Cricetulus griseus: one gene and its partner. The protein of the gene in region 2 interacts with the protein of the main gene of each other region in a biochemical or structural test. Links are inferred from orthologs where the notes say so. Each region holds a gene or a part of one and is shown on either strand. Other genes may lie near its edges.

Region 1 (7,252 bases), about 150 Mb from region 2:
ACCCTTCCTCAAAAGAAAAGAATGAATATATTATTTAAAAAATGAACTTTAGCACATAGCCATTTTTAAATTACAATAAAAGTATTTTAACAGTATAACCTATTACATTTTAACTTGCTCTTTAAAATGCTATAAATAGTGTAATATAAATAAAATTAACCTAATGATCAGTTTCTGGAAATCAAAAGTAAATACAATTCCAAATGGACAAGATATTTACATACAAATTAATTACTCGGGCATGAGTAGGTGGAAAGCACTTGCTTAATTATTATGAATTCTCAGTGGGTTGTACTTAAATGAAAATCTATTTTTCAATTTGTTCTAGAAAGTTTGCCAATTTGAGCATTTTGGGGAAGCTGCTGAGTTACTTCCAAAGCAAGAACACTCTTCAAACAAGACTGTTTCCCTCACATAATCAATTTGATTCCAAATCTTTTCTGAATCATATAGAGTAGAATATTTCATGCTCATGAAAATGTGGAGTAACAACAGAATTTTTATCCTAAATCTGAGGGGAAATTGCTCACATACTCTATCAAGCACTGCATAGTAATGCAATTAGTTGAGATTAAAAATGCCCCCTTAGAAGCCAAAAGTGCTGTGAAACTTTCCTAACAAATGCAAGTATTGCATAGTCATGGAAATGAGATTTCTCAACAATAGTCGTTTAGGAGAAACAAATAGAGAAAATATGAAAGTGAAGGATTCTCCTGTTAAATTGCCAGGAGTGGGAGTAGCTCCTTCATTATTTGCATGATTAGTGATGTAAGACCATTTTTATCCATCAATATTAATATAAACTCATTTCACACACTGTCATTTTGTTTCTTATTGTCTCCTTTGTTTTCAGGTAAAGATGCAAACCTCACTGCTAGTTCATAGGCCATACAAAGACAGGCATGAGACCAGATTTGACTCAAAAGCCATACCCTGCCAACCCCTGAGATAAACATTACAGCCCTCTTTCCAACGACCTTTCACAATTCCATTGATCTATTTTCAATGAAAAAAAAATAGTCAATTGACATACAGATTGACTCTAATTGTTTGTATGTGATACGAATTCCAAAACTAATTCGTAAGACAATAACAACATTTACTACTTTAAGCACTAGGTGCCATATGGAAGTTATGTTTGGTCTCCACATTGGCTTATAAGCTATCCCTGGACAAAAGCATCAGAAATGGTCTGAGTTGATGCAATAAGTGGAGAGAAGGCAATAAATGGGAAAAAGTAAATGATCCTAGGATATCAAGTCAGAGAACCCACTGATCTTCACTTCCAAGGGCCAGCCATTAACACACTGCGTCATGGATCATATTCATCAGTACTTTGTTATTGCATTTAAATATTTCATTACTTTACTATAGAGCATATCTGGAAGAGGAGAGAGAATAAAAGGAAGCTTTTAGAAAGAACTACATAACTGAATTTTAGTAAGTTGAGGATCTGTCCAATTGTATCTGGGTTGTATCTGGTAAGAATGATCATCTGTCTACTCAAGCAGTTACCTTTCCATATATCCCTGATTTCAATTAAAGGAAAGAAAGAACATGGACAGAAGCTAACTTCTAATTAAGTCATTAGTGAACTATGTGGTGGGTGTTAATTATTCTCAGAGCAGGGCTCAGTGTGTCCTTCATCATGTGATCTGTCAGAATGAAAACAAAGCAAAGCCTGTCCCATACTTACTAGTTACATCCCATCCTTCTTATATGGCTATTAGCCCCCCAAAAAATAAACTAACTAGACCTTCAGAAATTGTGGGTTCTTAAGAACAAGTGTAAAATAAATAAATAACATCCCCGTTATAGTATCTTTCTTAGAAGGAAGTGAAGAAGTCAAGGAGACCCAGGAAGCATGCCCATGTGCAAGGACACCTGTCACTGTGTTTGCACGAAAAGGATGGCTCAGTGTAGTAGCAAACTTATCTTGACCTGGACAAAAAAGTAAAACTTGGGTGCTGGCTCACAGCTTGGAAATGTTGTATGGGACCCCAGAAGCAAAGAATGTGACCCACTCAATATATTTCTTCTTAAATTCACAGGTACTGACCAGAGTCACCAAGAATGCTCAGGGCACATGGGTTAGTAATCTGTACTTGCACATAGGGGTGTGTATGTGTATGTTTGCGTGTGTGTGTGTGTGTGTGTGTGTGTGTGTGTGTGTGTGTGTGTAAGCATGAGAGAGAGAGGGAGGAGAAGGTAGTTCTGTTTGCATGGAATCTTTCTAATGCAAATTTCCCAGTTGATTAATTAGATCAATTAATATTCAAATTAGAGTTCAGCTAATCCCAGGTTTACAGAGTCCCCTAGGCAAATGTTCTTATTGTTACCCAAAGGGTGACTCAGAGGATGACAGATTTTCTCCTTGTGAGTCAGTTGTAAATAAGGAGAAAGGTGTTTGCATTCACCCAAGAGACAGGCCTTTAATTTTCCTTTGCTTATGTTCAGTTCCCTCTGACTTTACTAGTGGGATTTAAGATTGATTCACTTCTTATTAATATACAATCTGGTTCAGAAGAGTTATTGGAGGCCTTATAAGGCTTTGAGATGCTTATGCTAGTTAGTTGCTGTCCTTTGGCCCACTTTCACCCTTGTTCATAAACACATAATACATACTTGGTCTTCCAAAAATGACCTTTCTATCCTAACCCAGCAACAAGTGGACCCTGATGCCTCCAAAATGTAAAAACTGAGGAATAATATTAAAATTAGAAAATGAAATCTTTTGTATCTACACTGTCAAAATACCAATAAGAAATTACTAAAAGTCACCTTAATTATCTGAAGCCACTGAATTATGAATTTTGACCCTTGAAGAAAAGCCAACTAACCAGGAATTCCAATTTTAATACTTAAAGTTTCCTGATCATTTAATTCTAGGCTCTCTGAGTTTAGCCAATGACTTCATAGAGATCTCCAACCCCAGCGGGTACAGATCCAACATTGAAACTGCACCAGCCAGAGCCAAGCAGACAAGAGCCCAAGCCTCTCCTCAAATCCCAGCTGCTCACTTTCCCTTGGCTAAGAAGAGGTACTGGGGGGGAAAAAGCCCTTTAATACAGATCTTCTGGTTATAGTTTGCATCAGACTTCAAGCAAGCAGACAAACATCAACAGCTCACAACCCAATTACTCATATTAATATACTGCAAACCACATGTGACGCATTGGAAAGGCAAACTGGGTTAGGCCAGGGTGAAGCTCTGCCCTTCTCAAGGGAAAGGAGCCTGTGATGTGCTTCACATCGCAACAGTGACCTCTAGTGCTCCCTCTTCACTGAATGCGTGCAGCTTCGGGATACCTTTGCCACAAAACTTCATTTACCTGAGTGGATGGGCTCTGGTCGCTTGTGGTCCTTGTTTGTTTGTTTATTTGCTACAATGTTTGTCGAAGTCTATCACCAAAGGACCCCCCAAGATTTTGACTGGGTGTAACCATGCACATTTTATTGACTTGTTTCCAGGCATCCAATTTAAAATTGGAAGGGAAACAGTGCAGCCCTTGAAAGAAGTTCTCTCCTTTGCAGAGTGGCAGATAAATTGTGACATTAAATGAAGTCCTGCAAATGGAAGCACAAATCACCATGGTCACGCAGCGTGAATGGACTTGGGCTTATGACCATGAGTTCTTCCCCCACTAGGACTCTTCAGTAAAGTCAAAGGAGGTTCTACAGGAAAGACAGCGACCAGTTTCTGTCTCCCAAACCTAACCCTGGCAATACAGCAGTGGAGTCCATTCCTGAACAGGCCTTGTAACACTTTCTTGTAATGTAAAGCAGATAAAGATGATCTTTAAAATCCAAGACAGAAAACAAAAGTTGTGTTTGCTGAGCTGTTTATCATGCATGATGGCAGATGGGAAAATACTTCCATTTAGAGAATTTAAGCCAAATATAAACTTTAGAAACTTTTCCTATCTCCAATTGCAAGCTGATGAAAGAGTTGGCCAATATATTTTGGGTGATATTTAAATGAAGCAGAGAGACTGTGACGAATGTTCCTTGAATCAATGAACTCAGTACCAAGACAATCAATTACAAACACATGAAGTTGAAAATTCAACCACAAGAGAACACTACTTAAGGTGGTGGCTGGGGTGGGAATCACCTTCATATTTCCCTTTAAGCCAGATGTAGGGCTGGGTGCCCATCCAGGAGTGCTCTTCCCAGGGAGGACAGGGCTCTTCAATGCTGAGCTGTGCTTCCTTCCACCAGTGCTGCCTGCCGGTGAAGTCTGCAGTATGTTTCAGTTATTAGTCTGCATCATTTTAGAGATGCAGCCAGCTACTGCTAAATCGCAAACTTCAGAAATCTTAGCTAATGCAGCAGAAAGAATATCAAGTCTGCGGGTTGTTTTCCTGCTAGCCAAATAATCCCAAGGAAATTCAATAACCTGAAGAGAGGTGCCTGGGCCGGTCTATGATTAAGATGCTAATGTAATGTTTTACTAGAAGTTGACTATTCTCAATGAATATTCAAGGAGAGTAAGATTCTGCTAGTAAAAAAAAAAAAAAATAGTCCAGATAACATTTTGCATATTCTGACAAGACCAGGAGGAACCCAGTCCTATTGCACAATTCTCCTGTGGTACTTCGCTTAGCCCCCCGCAGCAATTCCAGTTGAAAAGATTAATCATAATAACAACAGAATCAAAGTTTTGCGCGTAGCCCCCCTGCAAGTTTTAAATCATTTGCTGTGTACTTACACGAATTCCCGGCTTCCACTCTCTTCCAGGTGTGAGTAGACAACAGAAGTAACGTCTTGAGGACAGCACCAGTGACAGATCCCATATTCATAATTTTTTAGCTCCCCAAAAGATCTCAAGTGGCTCTCAGGGCGCGCTGGAGACAGGTTCTCCTCGGTCCTTCACCCAGCACTGAGTCTTCAGTATCTCTAGCTCTCTGGCTCTCTTTCCTCCCTCCCTCCTCTCACGCGCTACTGCTCTCTCCTCCTTTCCTCCTCCCTCCTCTGCTCTCTCTCTCTCTCTCTCTCTCTCTCTCTCTCTCTCTCTCTCTCTCTCTCTCTCTCTCTCTCTCTCTTTCTCTCTCTCTCCTCCCTCTCTCCCTCTCTCTCTCTCTCTCTCGCTCTCTCTCGCTCCTCCCCCCACCAAGCACTGGTTCCTCACTGAAAAGCAACCAGCATCTGTCCTAACAAGCTTACACACTACTGCCGCCGAGGCCACGCCCACTCCTCGCAGCGGTCCTAGAAATTGGCCTCAGCATCCTACCTCCTCTGAAAAGCACAGCACCAGCTAGCAGCTTTCTGAGCTCCGCAGCCGCTGCAGGTGATGGAAGCTGGACCTGGAGGCGCTGTCCGCTGCTCCCGGCCTCCTCGGGGCTTCCTCCCCTCCCCATATATTCTCAATAAGCCTTAACCCGTTTTGTGCCCTGCCAGCCTTATGGGGTGGGGGAAGTGGCCAGGCAGAGAAGCCTTCTGATTTTCCGCAGGTCGTGTATTTGGCAGTGCCAACCAACATACTGAGCTATTTCCTGATTGCCCGGGAGTGTATCCAGGTAAAATTGCATTATGTTTCAAAACAAAAGCATAAAATAAGACAGAAATAACAAAGCAAGCATTGGTGAATTGTAGCTAAAACTGTCCTCCGGGAAAATGCTTGCTGTTTTTTCTGTTTCTATAAAACTATCGCCTTGTGCTCTGGTGCCAAGGTTTTATTACGGAAATTCCTCACATGGGAACAGACATTCCTGCTTGGCAGATATTTAAAAATCATCTGATAATAGTCTGCAAGAAATTAACATTTCTTATTTTGGTTGGTGCTTCAGGAATACAAATCCACCAGTGGAGTGCTCTGGGTAGATTGAGTTTCATGAACACATTCTTCTGTGAGTAGGCAGCATTCCACAATCGTGTTCTTTAATAGTAATTCCCAGAGGGCCCCAAATGGAAAATGATGGAATACTGAAAAAAGGGAACCCTCTCCCATACATCCCATACACACACACACACACACACACACACACACACACACACACACTCAACTACTACAAAGAATACTCTTCCAGTGGCCACTCTATGGGTACTATTGCTTGTGCTGAATATTAAATCACTTAAATGATAAAGCTAAGGCCCCATACAGAGCAGCACATCGCACGGTGTCAGAGAGGGTAAATCATCTCTCAAAAAATAAATGTCAAGATGCCTTCCTGCTGATTAGCTAGGTGGTGTAAAGACAGGAATCCAGGAGCTATCAAGCAACATCTTGGTGTTTGGAACAGGGAGAAGCTCAAGCCTTTCCCATCGGCAGCCTTGCTGGGCTATGAAAAAGGAGTGATTTGGGAGAACCATCCATACACCAAGCCTAATTGTTTAGCTCTTGACTTCAAACAAAGCTGAATGGATAGTTTTGCTTTTCCTATTTTTCAGATGAAAAACCAAGAACAGAGAAGGGAGTGGTTTGCAGGGTCATTGAGTTAGGAAGTAAAGTGAAGAAAGCTGGGCTTGGGTTTTTGGCTCTGGCTCTACTGATCTCAGTCTAGGGCTTGCTGTCATCGAATCAGAGTTCACACCCCCCCCCCCAAGACTCCTGCAAAAACTCCAGTCCTTAAAAACAGTATCAGGGAAAAGAAAATCAGGGCCTGAGTGTTTTCTCTGTTCCTAGACCTAAATTCCTGGCTTTGGCTTTCAAGCCATAAAATGTCAAGAAAGACAGGTACATATTAACAATTTATATCAGTAATTATTGTGGGGGTGATTTAATTTACATGCTATCTTCCACTTATTATTTAATTAAATTATTAAAGTGATCATTTGAGGAAGATATCCTGTGCCTACAGAAGGAATAGATTAGCCCTTCTAGACCTCTGTGAGACTGCACTGTCTGGAAAAGTGAAGCTCGGTTGATAAGAGTATTTACCTAAAAGGCACAGGGTCCTGGGTTTGACTGCCAGCACACATAAACCAGTTGTGGTGGTGCATGCCTGTAATCCTTGCACTTGGAAGGTGGGTTAGGGGCATCAGAAAGTCAAGGTCATCCTCAGCTACAGCAAATCTGAAGCAAGCCTGGGCTAGGTGAGTCCCTGTCTCAGTGAGGGGGGAAAGAGGAAGGAAGGAGGCAGGGAGGGAGGGAAGGAGCAGCAAAGGTAGGAGCAAAGGAAGCAGGGAGCAAGGGAAGGAGGAAGGAAGGACAGAGTTGACATTCTGATCTATGGGCCTGTAAAACTGCTGCTTTGGCAGCAAAGTATTGGGCTTTCCAGAAGGAAATATTATCACCCTACTAAACTTGTCA
Region 2 (7,330 bases):
TAACATATAGTGTCACCTATTTATTTCACGTGGTCTCCTCCCACTAAAAGCTCTGTAGTGAAAGGGACTCTTCCAACTCCCATACTCAACCTCTATCCTTTCAGCTAGCCTGAGAGGGCGTTTGATTAATAGTTGTTAAAAGTACAAGCAAATTCTATTAGCTACAGATAAAGTTATACAATCTCATCTGGAATCGTCTCGCTCATTTGAGAAAGCAAGCATCCGTATTTGGTGAGAAACGGTGTCCTTGCTTTTCCAGATAGGTGTACGTAGCAGCTATGAATACATAAACAGGTTTATATTACCATAACCTTATACGGGTCACAGAATTCAAATCATTAGATATCCACTGTCTAAATAAATTCTGAAATTTCAGATCTCAGAGACTATATTTAACTCACTAAAACAAATTAATTTATTCATGAATTCATGTGACAAAAATCTATCGAATACTTATGACGGGTGTGGTGTTAGCTAAGGTGCTATACTTGAGTTTTGAAAAATCAACTTTACACTTCACTGTAAAAGCCATATCTTGCTGTAATAGATAAGAACAATTTATCTTTAAAAAGAAAGCCTTATTTTTCTCCATTATCTCATTATAAGCTTTATTTATTTAACTCAAAGATCCTCAAGAGGAAGTTCTCATGGCAAAGCTTTCTAACAGAGTTTCAGATAAATTCAGGCAATGTTAAAAGTAAACATATTTTTCCATGGAGAATAAGGGACAGAAACCCCACTGAATTTAGCAATACTGAATGTTCACTATTACAAAAATTAAGTAGTTGCTAAAGTCTAATTGTGTGCGGCTCGTGGCTTCCTCTACAAACCCAAACACAGAGAGACACCTTCCTCTCGGGAAGCCATGGTCATTCACTCATGCCAATTTTCCACAACCCACGAGCTGTTGCCATTCTACTCCTGGTCCCAACCTGCCCTCCCTTTTCTTTCATCTTAGTCCCCTGTTTCCATCTCAGGAGCTGTTCTTCCACCTGGCGTGGGTCACCATTTTGAAGTCTTTATCAATGTAACCTCCTGCTAACACCGCAGATCAAATCTCTGAATTGATTTATAGCCCAGGCTTATGAAGTAGGTTTCCTTCCCTCTGCTGTGCCATTCCTGTGATGTATCACCCTCTCCTTCACTACCCAACTTATTAAAGGACAAGTCTGTTTGCACCACTTGCCACTCTCTTGATTTCTTCTTCCATGTAGCATAAACGCCCAATTTCCCCGTGGTATCATGGTTTATTCCTTTTGACCCCACAGATCAATTTTCAAATGTCTTTTACTTCCAAGTCTTCTGAAAAATAAAAGCCAAACTTTTAAAAAGAAGCTCATAATAGAAGAGAAAAGCATTAAAGCTACTTTAAGGTAAGAAAGGGCATCCACGCAAAACAAATGGCTGGCTGGCTGCAGCCTGCAGGGAAAGGTGCAGCCATTTACCAACCTGAATTACAGATTCAAGTTGAACCTTTAACCTCGCCAGGCCAAACGTTAGAAAAGCAGGGCATGGCATTTGAAAAATCATCTCATTTACATGAGAAAGGAAATCAGAAATTCTCAAGCCATCCTTTGTGCTGCCCTGCAATTCTTTCTCTAACCAGGTTAGTATTTACTTTGGTAAGTTCTAATATTTTTGAGCTCTAATATTTTGAGTTCTATTTACTAGAACTCTTCAAATACATACTGATTAGTAAGAATGATGTTCAAAGTGAACTTTAAACTCAGTTAGAAATGATTCCTGTTTTCAACTTTAAAACAATGAAACAATAAATACTATAAGAAATTTACATATATGGTTTTACTTGCAAATACAGAGATGGTAACTTTTTTTTTACTATAAAGAAACCAAAACCTCTTAACTGACTTTTACATCCATCAGAAAGAGATATATGACTGAAGCAATAAGAGAATAAAGAACTAAGATTCAAAATTCATTTTTATAAATACTCTTTTAAATCTTGGGTGAGATCCAACAACCTCACATTAAAATTTTAGAAGTCTTGACTTAAAGGACATGGGGCAATTTATTTTATATTGACAGCTTCCAGGGCACCTGGCCCATATATCATCATCAATTTTTTAAAAACGACAAATGAGAAGAAAAAATCATATGTGGATGGCCTTAGTTTTATTATTTTCAATGGATCAATAAAATAATGCAATCTTTGCCCAAAGAACAAAATTTTTAAAAATTTAAGAAAAAGAAGTAAATCTTTGGTCTCAATGTGTTGTACATTTATTTGTACAGACTTGATTATTACAGGCTTTTCAAAGAGGCTCAGGGCAGCCCATTTGGGTTCTGACAGAAATTCAATAGAATTTGAGGTATTATGACTAAAATGTGTCCCAAGCAGGTTAATCCACTCATACGATTTCAATAAAGTACTGAGCTATTAGCATAAAGGTGCATTTGCTCCTATGGATACTGCAGGAGAAATACAGACTCCAGGGAACCAGGCTGCAGTGGACACACATGAATATGCCATCATGATTCCTCTCTCTCCCCAACCCTATCTTTATTACGCAGAGGAATTTAAGCATCTATAGACTCTGGGTGCTTTTTGGTGTCCTGGTTCCTAGACATTACCGGAGAGCCGGACATTTGCCAAATTTCCTCCGAGTGCTGCACTGACCCGAGATCTTATCACCATGGGTCGCAAGAGATTTCAGTTCCTAAATGGACCTTCTAACCATTGTGAAAGCTGGGCGAGTGGATAGCAGAAATTAAGTATCCCAAGGAAAAAACCGTTTCCCAAGGAAAAACACCCAAGAGAACGTAAAACATTTCTCAGTATGGGCTTTTTCCTCGTTTTTATCTCCCTCTCAATCTCTTTCTTTTATTTTTAAAGCCCCACCCCCTTAAACACCTCCAGAGTTTATTCTAAAAGAAGCAACACAAAGACTACCATCCTTCAGCCAAAAGGGTTTCAGTATGCAAATGTGGAAGACTTGGCGATAAAAGTTGTAGGAAGGGGTCCATTAAACACCCTTCTCTTTGGGTTAGACAAGAGATAAACAATAGAAATTGCAGAGTCAGGCAGTCAGGGATCCGACGGAGGAGGGGCTGGAAAGTATCAGGAAAGCTCCCTTCAGAACCAGGGACACCGGCAGTCTCAAAAGGTATAACCATTATCCTGTTTTCCTGCCATGTGCCTCAAAGCAAAACGCTCACTTCCACATGCCCGTATTATGAGGTCAGGGAAAAGGGAAGCGAGAATCCCTACACCCAGCCACCCAAGACCAGAAACAGAACAGAAACTGTATGTACTTGACTTGCATGGTCGAAATAACCAACACTGTCCCACAGTGTTAGCTGGTGGCATCAAGTAAGGAAAAGCAGATCGCTGGATGTGGGGCGCAGTTTGGGGAGCGTGGATCCAATTGCACGCTACTCACTCTTACACAGGATTTTTACAAACCCGGCCTTACCCTACTGCTTCCCTCCACACTTCACACACCAAGTGCATCCTGCCCACCTCACGGTTTCCATCGTCAGTCAGCCAGAGAGGAGGGATCCTAGCGGGGATTCCTGGAAATGTCATCCCCCCTACACCTCGGATCCGCCACCTCCATCCCCACTGCCATCACACAGACGCAGACACACACACACACACACACACACACACACACACACACACACACACGCACGCACTGCCATGACTGTCATCAGGCCCGCTCTTCTCAAAGCCTGGTATCTCAGCGCGCACCGGACGCCTGGCATCTCTCTGGTACACACCCTTCCCCCGCCTCGCTGGCTCCAGGCTTTGCCCCCTGGATGTTGCCCGCAGTCCCTGTTCATCCTCACTATTGTTCCACGCAGCACTCCTCGCTCCCAGGATCGCCCTTCCGAGAGCAACCAGGCTCCGTCCGGGGCGTCGGGCGCCCCGCACTCACCCAGCCCTCCCTGGCCATGGTACCTTGCCTGACAGCTGGGTCCGCGGGCCCGCGGGAGCAGGCGGCGCTAGTGACAGCGACCGTGCCAAGCCTGGGAATAAAGCTGCTCTCTAGCCGCTCCCGCCTCCAGCGCCACCATCTTCCCCCGCCGCCACCGGGACCGCAGCCGCCCGCGCCCGGCTCCGGCTCTAGCTCGGCAGCGGCTCGGGCCCCCCGCGGCCCCACCCCCTGCTCGCCGCCCGCTCGCCTCGTGACGCGCGCCGGGGCCGGCCGGCTGCGACTGACGGCGGGGGGAGCGCGCGCACGCCGCGTGCAAGCGGCGCCCCTGCCTCCCACGCCCACCCGCGTGCTCGCGCGGCGCGGGCCCGACGCGGCGGCGCAGGAGTCCCGCTCCGGCGCGCGTGAGCGTGCCAAGTGTCCGCGCCCCTCGCCGTGGCCGCGCCTGCAATCAGAGCGCGAGTCCCTCCCTTTCGTGCCCGGGATCCTGGGGTGGACTACGTGGCTGCCTCCCGCGGGGACCCACGGGGACTTCCATCGTCCCCAACCCCAGGTCCCTAACGCTCATCCCGGGCCCGACCTTTGCATATGGGATCTGGCCACGCTTAGGACACGGAGCGGAGCAGCCGCGTGGACGGCTGCGCGTGTCCTCTTGTTAGTGACACCGGGCTTTCCCGCTTCCAGGGTCTGAAAGTCGGAAAAGGCTGGCAACGCGCCTCCGCTCTCCGCATGTGGCCGCCAGGGGGCGCCCGCGTGGGCTCGAGCGGAGCAAGCTGTCCGCCTGGTTGCCCACCGGGGGCGCTGCTCAGTCCCACTCCACCCTGGAAACGTCTGGAAGGCGGGGCCAGGGAAGGGTCCACTTGGCTTCTCCGTATCGGTTGCTAGGAGCTTCAAAGAGTCTTCCAGCCCGGCACGGGTGATCTGCTCGAAATAGGACTGGGATCTCTGGAGGGTGGGGACCCTTTCCATTAGGGACCAGGTGGCAGGTGCTGTGTCTTAATGAAAAGTTGGACTGCCCCCCCCGGGGGGTGGGGTGGGGTGGGGGTGGGTTCTGGCGCTAGCCCCACGTGTTCCCCTTCTTCCAGACAGAGTTCTCAATTTAAAAATTAAATCATATTTCCCCGAAACCTTTTAGTTTTCCAGTCTCTCTTCGTACACTTATTCTCGTCTAGCGAAATGAAAACAAAAAGCCTTGCTTATCCGACCTCAGGAGAGATGAGCCTATTCGTTGCATGGTGTTTCCATATTGAGCACAGTACCTCCAGAAATATCTGCGGGTGTAGCCTGAAGCATTGTAGAATTTCTGTTTAGCTTTAAAATTCGTATGAATTTTGCACTCTATTTCATAATGAATTTCTTTGCTTTGACAGAGATGACTATAGCTTCTCCTGTCCCCTAAATATAATAAAACATACAAGAAATATGTACCATTGTTGCTTGTCCTGTAACATTCATTACCTATTCATTTTGTCAGTATAGATACTCTCACGGGTGAGAGACAGATGGTGTCCTCCAGAACTCATAGCATCCTGGGGAAAATGTTACACAATCCAGAGCAACTGTGAGCTTTCCAACTGCGAAGGTGCTGGGGATGGGGGTGGGGTCTGATGTTGACTGGGCTGCCTGAGGAAAGGGCTATTCCAGGAGACCACTTAGAAGGAAGTAAAGGTGTGAGGACCCCTCTCGTGGGTCTGAGGCACAGCACGCCTCAAGCAGGCAGTAGTCACAGCTTTTACTTTTTGAGGCAAAAAGGGGCACTAGGGGTTGTTGAGAGTTGGATTGATCCAACAAGAACAAGCAGCATCACGTTTGTTTCTGTTCTTGAAAGGTATGTGAGGCAGCTCGGTGGAGAGAGAGCGCGGCTCAGAGGCGCAGAGTCTAGGGCAGGAAAACCGAGTCAGGACGAATCCCGAATCTCTTGCTATGCCTGTTTGGTGAACGCTTTCTGGGTTAGGTGTGTCTTCTAGCTGGCAGCTCTGTTAAGTTTTTGCCTTTGCTTTCATTTGCACCCCTTGGGGAGGGGGGCAATTTCAGAGTACATTTCTGTCATTGCTTCTGTTCCCTTATTGTAGGTTTACCATGCAAGCTTAACTTACTGGTTAAGTTTTGGTTAAATAGGAGAGAGTACAGATCCTTGGTGAGAAGCATATTTTGATGCTGTGGTAGTTAAATCTTCGTTATCCTGACAGCTCGAGAATCGCTTTAGATATCCCCTCTGACGAAATTTCTAGGTTGATTTGACTGAAAAGAGGGAAAACCCACCCTAAATGTGGGCAGCACCTTTACACAGACTGACTCTAGACTGGGTGGCTATAAAGGAGAAACTGAGTAGAGCCTAGCACTGTGCTCCTCACTCTGCCACTTACAATGGACTCAGTGTGGCCAGACACCACAGTATGCAGGCCCCCAAGCCTGCTCCACCCCGATGGAGGCTTCCTTCCTTTAGTTGCTGTTGTCTGGCATTTTGTCACAGCCGTTTCAAGAAAAGCAACTAATACAGCTGTATCAACTTGCTACCATTTGGTTTGCCAGCTCATTTCCCCCGTGTGTTGTGTGATATTCCCACCAAACTCTGAGTAGCAGAAACATTTGTTGCTTTCCTGATTCTTTCCAATCATTCTTAGATCACAGGGGTTTGGTTAAAGCAAATGTGTAAAGGCGCTTTGCTAGCATCACTATAATGGCAGCTATTTGTCAATGTTTATATATGGAAATCTTCCTTTCACAGGAACATAGATGTCCTTGGTCCTTCTGGATGGTGTATTTGTGCCTCATCTAGCAGGAAGCTCCAAACCACATTTGTAGTTCAGTGTAGGAAATGGAGGGGCCCATATGGCATTTATATTCACCCTTCCTTCGGTGTTAGTCTACCTGTAGATTCTCTGTATCTGCATTACTGGTATGTTTCTACCTTATTATTGATACTCTTCTAAGGACTTCAAATATTTATGTCCACCTTCTGTTAACAAAAGCCAAAACTGCTATTCCCTGCTTCAAAGGGCAGTATATAAAATGCTGGCAAACGGCCAGCCATTGTAGCAGGTAACAGTCTGTAGACAGGCTGCCAAGTGACTAGAGTCTAAGTTAAAGCCTTACCTGCTGCGGCTTGTGGGTCACAAGTCTGTGCATACCAGTTTAAAGCCTCATATTAAGAAGCCTCATATTATCTGTGACTCCTAGATAATGAGTCTCTCTAGGACCATTCCTGAGGTCCCCTTCTCCCCCAGCCCCAAGCCCACTCTTCTTACCCTCTGAGTATTGTTTACAACTCAAGAGGGAAGGTAGGGGTTCATGAACATTTCATTTATGTTTGTTGACAGTAGACACCTTGAGGTTATGAGATCCAATAACTTCATTGGAACCCCACAGGCATGTGAGCAGATCTTCTTGGGGTTTAATGTGGCTCTACACAGACCAAGCTGCACACCTCTTCT

Evidence for each region.
Region 1: the proteins of Apba1 (region 2) and Cntnap4 form a complex in vitro, tested with the Homo sapiens proteins (2 studies listed by BioGRID and IntAct, with this or other methods). The link is inferred for Cricetulus griseus from reciprocal best matches to the Homo sapiens genes APBA1 and CNTNAP4.

What each region holds. Positions count from the first base shown.
Region 1 is NC_048596.1:189,014,756-189,022,007, reverse strand, and holds the start of Cntnap4 (contactin-associated protein-like 4), read right to left. Parts: upstream 4,803-7,252; coding exon 4,712-4,802; intron 1-4,711. UniProt on the Homo sapiens protein: Presynaptic protein involved in both dopaminergic synaptic transmission and GABAergic system, thereby participating in the structural maturation of inhibitory interneuron synapses.
Region 2 is NC_048596.1:37,521,590-37,528,919, forward strand, and holds the start of Apba1 (amyloid-beta A4 precursor protein-binding family A member 1), read right to left. Parts: upstream 4,609-7,330; 5' UTR 4,477-4,608; intron 4,115-4,476; exon of another isoform or gene 3,923-4,114; intron 1-3,922. UniProt on the Homo sapiens protein: Putative function in synaptic vesicle exocytosis by binding to Munc18-1, an essential component of the synaptic vesicle exocytotic machinery. May modulate processing of the amyloid-beta precursor protein (APP) and hence formation of APP-beta.